Linked DNA regions of Mus musculus. The protein of the gene in region 1 binds, or shares a complex with, the protein of each later gene. Links are inferred from orthologs where the notes say so. Each region holds a gene or a part of one and is shown in the gene's direction. Other genes may lie near its edges.

Evidence for each region. Proteins that work in one complex are often made in the same cells at the same time.
Region 2: the proteins of Ush1c (region 1) and Myo7a are in contact, whole or in part, in a crystal structure (PDB 5MV9), measured with the Homo sapiens proteins. The link is inferred for Mus musculus from reciprocal best matches to the Homo sapiens genes USH1C and MYO7A. Residues at the interface, in NP_001284693.1 of Homo sapiens: Glu450, Pro456, Ile457, Val461, Val462, Ser463, Tyr466, Glu467, Lys479, Gly480, Pro522, Tyr526, Asp527, Asp528, Glu529, Leu530, Thr531, Phe532, Phe533; in NP_000251.3 of Homo sapiens: Phe1946, Val1953, Ala1976, Lys1995, Lys1996, Trp1998, Gln2017, Pro2020, Lys2021, Arg2024, Tyr2026, Ser2112, Ala2113, Phe2114, Phe2115, Glu2116, Val2117, Lys2118, Ile2128, Ser2161, Gly2163, Asn2164, Thr2165, Tyr2166, His2168, Leu2181, Glu2183, Thr2184, Ser2185, Leu2186.

What each region holds. Positions count from the first base shown.
Region 1 is NC_000073.6:46,210,970-46,214,619, reverse strand, and holds part of Ush1c (harmonin), read left to right. Parts: intron 1-3,308; coding exon 3,309-3,461; intron 3,462-3,650. UniProt on the Homo sapiens protein: Anchoring/scaffolding protein that is a part of the functional network formed by USH1C, USH1G, CDH23 and MYO7A that mediates mechanotransduction in cochlear hair cells. Required for normal development and maintenance of cochlear hair cell bundles.
Region 2 is NC_000073.6:98,074,356-98,078,005, reverse strand, and holds part of Myo7a (unconventional myosin-VIIa), read left to right. Parts: intron 1-167; coding exon 168-377; intron 378-812; coding exon 813-1,016; intron 1,017-1,237; coding exon 1,238-1,414; intron 1,415-1,838; coding exon 1,839-1,928; intron 1,929-2,871; coding exon 2,872-2,999; intron 3,000-3,650. UniProt on the Homo sapiens protein: Myosins are actin-based motor molecules with ATPase activity. Unconventional myosins serve in intracellular movements. Their highly divergent tails bind to membranous compartments, which are then moved relative to actin filaments.

The sequences.
Region 1 (3,650 bases):
ATAAAACAATTCATGATGACCCTGCCAGATGTAGCTTGTGTGGAATTTGGCACCCCGGTCTGGGAATGCAGCCATACTAATGCCATCTATGGCCTAGACCTATCTCTGCCCAGGGCTAGGATTATGTATCTTTCCATTCCCTAAGACCTTTAATTTTCTCTCTAAATCTCATTATACTATCTCCAGGCCCCATAAAATACTCATCTTTTGTCTTACTAAATTTCATCAGTATTTGATTGTGAAAATGCCACGGTTAATATCTGTACTGCATGTTAGACATTCGAGATGGCTTGGTATTTAGAAATCAGGCTGCCGGCATAAATCTGAGTGAACTCATTGACCCAGCTCAGCTCTTTCTAGCAAGGGCCCTGGGAAGCAAGGCTGTGGCAGCAGCATGAGCTTGGGATACTGCCCACCACACGCCACTTACACAGTAGCAGCGGGATTCCTGACACACATGTGCCTGGGATTGCAGCATTCCACAGCAGTGAGCAGGCTTAGGCTACAGTGCCCGAAGGACCCCTTCTTACCCTGTTTTGATCTCAGAGAGTGTGTGGTCTCCTAGGACTGTGGCCTCTGTGTCACAAGCTGAGTCCATGGCTTGAAGTAATGTCCAACCTTTTGACATTGTGACATGGCACTGACATCTACAAAGTTCCCATACAATTGAGTTACAACACCTTTCAAAAATAATATATTGTTTTAAGTAAGTTTATGGTTTTGTATTGGGCTATGTTTGTAGCTATCCTAGCTTCAGGCTAGAGGCTGGACTCTGAGGGGGAATCTCATGGAGTTAGACTGCTAATTCTTCCCATTATAGTCTCTATTAGACCTTGGCTAAAGGAAACAACATATTCCATACACCAGTACTTGGACATGTGATATATATGTATGTATGTATATATATGTACATATATATATACATACATATATATGTGTGTGTGTATATATATATATTATATATATATATATACATATATATATATATCACATGTGTATGCACACAGAGAGAGAGAGAGAGATTTTACTGGAAAAATAATTAGTACAAACGGATAGGGCATGTTTTCTCCAGACATAATTAACTATGGAAATGCAAATGAGCTGGAATGCTCTATACACACAAACCCCATTCCTTGGAAGTTGCTCTTAGTGATGGGGTCAGGCTAAAGTCCTCGTTATCGGTTTCATTGTCATGATGGAAACAGCTGTTATTTTGGTTTCTGCTCTCACTTCCCAAGGAGAACAGTTGTTGGTCGGTCGATAGAATTTCTCCTCTCAGCCTCGATGGAAACCTATGAATATAACTGACGATCAATAAGACAACACAAGCTCATCCCTCACACCAGCTCCGAAAACCCATCCTCACTCTGTCCAGAGCCGCTGAACATGGCGTGTTTCTCGGTAGCTGGAGCTAAGGAATACAAAGGTGTATCCACAGCTGTGAGCACCCGTAGTCAAACCCTTTACACAAAAAGAGAGATTTCATGCCTCCTAGCCCTGTCCTGGAAGTAAGTGTTCTCACTTCAATGCCACCAATTCATGTTTATGGAGGATTCATGGTTAGTGAGCTGAGGCTGAGGAGATGGCTCAGTGGGTAAAGTGCTTGCCTCCCAAGTGTAAGGAGCTGAGTTCAGATCCCAGAATCCACAGAAAAACTTGTGCATGGTAGCATGCTTAACCAGATATACAGGAACTCTTAGCCTGGCAGGGAAGGCAGATTCACGGGCCACTAAGTTGTCTGTACAGGGGGTACAGTTGCTCACGGGCAGTGCTCTGTGGCAGTTTGCCCATCTCCATCTGTCAACAGATACCCTTTACTGAGGGTGACACAGGATCTGTCACTGCCCTTCTCAGGAGCTCACTCTGGCTGTGAAATCTAGACATTATTGTAGGTTTGGTTTTGTTTTCTAATCAATAGAATGGCCATTCTTATCTCGGTGGCCCCTGAGGGTGCCATGACATTATTTAAGCTGGCTGCCACTAGGTAGACCCTTTCTGGTTCCTCTTGAGGATTGGCCTCTGAACCTACAGCATGGTGTGAGCATTTGACCCTGAGCTGAGCTAGGGGCCTGGTGAGCAGGGTAGGCCATGAACTGAGCAGAATTGAAGCAAGGAGAATCTCCTCTTTGAGATGTTGTGGGCCACTCTAGACATGGGTGCCAAAACCCAGCATTTCCAAAGCATATTAGCCATTATTGGAGATAAGGTTGTCTTCAGTTGAGTCAAGATGAGTGCATCAAAGGTCTGTAGACACTTACTACCCTAGGTTGACATGAAAGTTTTGCATCCATTGCTGGAAGTTCAGTTCCTCACTCCAGGCCTTGGACTCTAAGCTGATTCAGAGCAGCAAAGCAGGAAACCTTGGTAGGTAGAGATGCAATTATTCCGGAACTCACCCTGAGTGTTGACTTTCTCTGCATCCTCTTCTGAATGCTGGCTCTGTGCTCCCTGCTGTATGATGGGAGTGATCTCCCATCTGCTGTGTTCCTTTCTCCCCTGATTATCTGAGCTCAGTAGAAACCTGAGACCTGGAGGATGCAGGTCTGAGCCTGCATCACTTCCTAGATGTCTGACTTTGTGGAAGGGACTTCACCTCTCTAAGCTTTGACTTTAGCCTGACCTTGCATCTCCCAGTCCCAGAGTTTTCAGGTAATTCCCCAGTTTAGAGGGAACCCTGGCTCTGGACTCTCTAAGTGATGAAGTGTAGAGCATCCAGTGTGCTTGGCTTAAAACCCCACGTATAGACCATGACAGGTGACCTCTGCACATCAGGTTAACCAGCTCACTCAGACTCTCTGGAACCTCCCAGGATGCATCTCTGGCATCTGAACAGGAACCATTCCCCCACCCCTTGCTGCCAGGGAAGGCAAGCACCCAGGTCCTAGGAAGTAAATGCAATGCCTTTTATTAGAAAGAACTTAGAGATCTCCAAAGCCCTTTCATGGTGTTTCATGGGCACTAACTGGAAACCTGGATCAGCTATTTCTCCCACTTTAGAGATGTGGGGAGTCCAGGCTTAGCTAGGTTACAGAACTTAGCCAAAAGGTCACACAGCTAGTCAGTGAGCTAGTAAGCCAGGTCTGGCTGACGAGGGAGTATGTCTCCCACTCTCCAATGGGCATCCATGGCCTGCCTGACCTCAGCCTGAGTCTGACGCCCACTGTGGTAGGACAGAGCTGGGAGGGGGGCTCACTGCGGCTGGCAGCCTTGTCTTGTCAGAACTGCATGCCCTGTTTGCTGTCCTGTGTTAGTCCCAATGCCACCTAAACAGTGACCCTCACCACACGCACAATGCTCCATCTGCTCAGAAAGCAAAAGAGAAGAAGAAAGCCAAGTACGATAGCCTGCAGGACCTGAGGAAGAACAAGAAGGAACTCGAGTTTGAACAAAAGCTCTACAAAGAGAAGGAAGAGATGCTGGAGAAGGAGAAGCAGCTCAAGATCAACCGGCTGGCCCAGGAGGTGTGTGCACTGTCCCGGGACACAGCTCACTCCCCCAGCATACCTCCAAGGGCCAGATGGAGTCCAGAGAGTGAGGCTGCCCCCCACCCCAGGATCATCTAAGGCCAACTCTAGCTTAAGTGCATGCTTGAGACTAACACTAGTCTCCTGGTTTAGGGGCTGGGTCTGAGGCTAGCCTCCTTGCCCTGA
Region 2 (3,650 bases), about 52 Mb from region 1:
GGCTACGAGGACAGTCAGCTCACCCCTGTGTCAGAGCCCTAGTGGGGCTGCTGCTGTTTTCGCTGTTGCTGGTTGCTCCTGGGCTCCCTGAAGACAGCTGTTCTCGGAAGCTATGTTGCTCAGTGCTGACTTACTGACTTACTTACTCTGCGTCCCCCCAACCTCAGGAGCGCCTGGCTCAGCTAGCCCGCGAGGATGCGGAGCGGGAACTGAAGGAGAAGGAGGAGGCTCGGAGGAAGAAGGAACTGCTGGAGCAGATGGAGAAGGCCCGCCACGAACCCATCAACCACTCAGATATGGTGGACAAGATGTTTGGCTTCCTGGGGACTTCAGGCAGCCTGCCAGGCCAGGAAGGCCAGGCGCCTAGTGGCTTTGAGGTATCAGGACTTTGGGGCAGGACTTCCTGAGGCACCCCAGAGTCTTCTATGTCTCCTGTCACATCCTTTGTCCTGATACAGAAGGCAGTGGTGACTGACTGGGTGAAGGACTATGAGTCTCAGACCCCATCCAGTCTCTGCCTGCCACGTGACCTTGGTCCACCCGCTATCCCTCTCTGAAGCCATTCTCAAACTTTTATCCAATGTCCTTGAGGATCCCCTATGTGCTGGGCTCTGTTTGGACAGTGGAGGGAAGCAGCAGAGGCCTTACCTTCTGGGAGGAGGGGCCGGCTCTGCAGAGGATGAGAGAGATGAGAGAGAGGGGGCGGGGGGGGGGGAGCAGAGAGGACAGCAGCCAGCGCTGCTTCTGTTCTGGGCCTGCGGGCTACAGGGCCCAGCCTAACGGTTAAGACACACCCCCTCTGTGTCCATCAGGACCTAGAGCGCGGACGGAGGGAGATGGTGGAAGAGGATGTTGACGCTGCCCTGCCCCTGCCTGATGAAGACGAGGAGGACCTTTCTGAGTACAAATTCGCCAAGTTTGCTGCCACCTACTTCCAGGGCACAACCACACACTCCTACACCCGGAGGCCTCTCAAGCAGCCGCTGCTCTACCACGACGATGAGGGTGACCAGCTGGTGAGGCGGCCTGTGGCTGGGTCATGGCTCACAGGACCGGGCTGGGGTAGTGGGTGCTGCTCTTGTCAAGTCAAGGTCGGGCTTTGGTTCAGCCCCCAACCTAGGGTCAGACCACATCTGCAGGTGGCTGTCTCTCCAGCTTCCTCTCCAAGGCTCTCTCTGTGGCTTGAGCCACTTCCACCGCCCTCCCTGGCTTTCTTACATGTGTGCTCCATCCTCAGGCGGCGCTGGCTGTCTGGATCACCATCCTCCGGTTCATGGGGGACCTCCCAGAGCCCAAGTACCACACAGCCATGAGCGACGGCAGTGAGAAGATCCCAGTGATGACTAAGATCTACGAGACCCTAGGCAAGAAGACATATAAGAGGGAGCTGCAGGCCTTGCAGGGCGAGGGCGAGGTGAGGCCACAGGGCCCCCAACTGATAACTGTCTTGGGCTAGTGGGGATGGTGTCAGCACGCCAGGCTCAGGTAACCAGCAGAAAGCTGTCTAGCTGTCTCTGCCTCATCCCTGCCCCAATCCCCTGCCATTCTCTGTCTACTCGTGGGAATAATGTGCGAGCCATTGCCAACTGTAAAGTTCTCATTATAACTGAGGGGCTACACTGCAGACCAGACAGACTTTGCAGTGGGAGCCACCTCTAGGGACACCTCACTGGGAGACCTCCGGCAGTAACTATGATTTTCTGAGTCTCAGCAGGGGCAAGGGTAGAGGGTGGCTTCGTGGCTTGCACCTTGTGAGCCTCTGTGTGGAAATTACACACGCACACAGACACTCTATAACCCCACTGTCCAGAGGTCTCATCCCTGCATCTGTTACATAGACCCAGCTCCCTGAGGGGCAGAAGAAGACCAGTGTGAGACACAAGTTGGTACACTTGACACTGAAGAAAAAGTCCAAACTCACAGAAGAGGTAAGAACAGAGCCTGGGCCCTGGAGGGCTTCCTTAGGCAGCCAAACTGCAGCACAGCTGAGTCGGGGGCCCTGGAAATGGGAGCAGGAGAACTGGATGATGCCTCTCTCTTCTGTATAGCACAGCACTGGAGCAACCACCAGACAGAAGTGTATGAAAATGCTAAGGGTGGGGGCTTCCCAGGGTGGGAGAAAGAATGGGGCGGGGCCAAGTACACACGTGAAAAGGAGAATACTTCTGGCTGATACATATACCATGCATTTCATCCTAGGACCTCTTGACCTGGGAGCAGACTTCTCTGTAGTCTTTTTGAATACTGGTACCACCACCCATCAATCCATCTCTTACCTTCTAAGACTGCCAAGGCCTTGCACACAGGGCTGTGTAGGCTGGTGGGGGCTGGGACAAACAGGCATGGGTTCAGGTGCAGGAGGCCCTTGCATGGCCCTTTCTGTCTATGATGGAGGGTCTCTTGCTGCATTTGAGTGCAATGCGGGGCTGCTTCTGTGGCTGCGTGGGGCCAGGAGAGAGACACACATCTACTGAGAACTGAGGGTGGCCATGTCATATCAGGGCCAGGGCCTTGATAATTAGGTGGTTGTGAATCAGGCTGTACTTTGGTGCCGTAGGTGTGAGATGCTGGCCTCAATCAGAGGCAGGGATGGAACACATCATGGCTGAAAGGCTTTCCCTTGGGTGGGACTGAGGTACAGAGACCAAGCTGGTAGCATCAGACTGGTGCTCCCAGCCATGTGGTCTAGTTATTAGTCTTTAAGGATGGAGTAATGACAAGCTCAGGGGTCATCCATGCATTCATTTGCTCTCTGCAGTGGCTGGCAGGGACAGCACCCCATCTATGATGCTATCTGCTCCCCGTGGGAAGCCTAGCAGGTGCAGCACCCAAGCCCCACCTGTTTGGCTTAAGCCTGTGTCCGTGTCCTAGGTGACCAAGAGGCTGAACGATGGGGAATCCACGGTACAGGGCAACAGCATGCTGGAGGATCGGCCCACCTCAAATCTAGAGAAGCTGCACTTCATCATCGGCAACGGCATCCTGCGGCCTGCGCTGCGGTCAGTACCCGAGGGGCAGTGGGATGCTGTGTCTGGGCTTCTCTAGGCAGAGGCTGGTGGTCTCCAGGCAGCTGCTAATGGCTCCACTTTAGCCACAGATTAAGCAAAAGGCCCGTGCTAGCTCTGTTGCTGGCTAGTCATATGACCCTAACCTATCTCCTTCATCCCTCTATGCCTTACCTGGAAATGTGGAATAAGAATAGCACCCACACCTGAGATCTGAGGGGAGGCAGAACTTTGAGACAGTGAATGGAGAGAGCAGACTGTAACCTGTAGCTAGTGGTTATCATGGCCCCACCTGAGCGGTCGGATTTAAACCCACTGCCGCTGGCTCATGTTCAGTGCAGCTGGCCCAGGCCAATGGCAAGGTTACTCTATGCCTAGAGAATCTATTATTTCCATCCTGGGTCAGGAAAGACCTCTACTAGTGGCGAGTTGGTGGGAAGACTAGAGTCACCTATACAATTAGATAGTTAACCCAGCCAGATGTGGGGACCTGAGCTTCTCAGGGAGCTGGCTTATATGACCATAGGTAAAGACTTGGGGTCCCAAGAACTTATGTTTATATTGGGAGTGTGGGACAAGAGACAAGTCCCATCTAATGGGGAAACTGAGGCCCAGCATGAGGAAGAGACTTTCCAGGAGTTATTT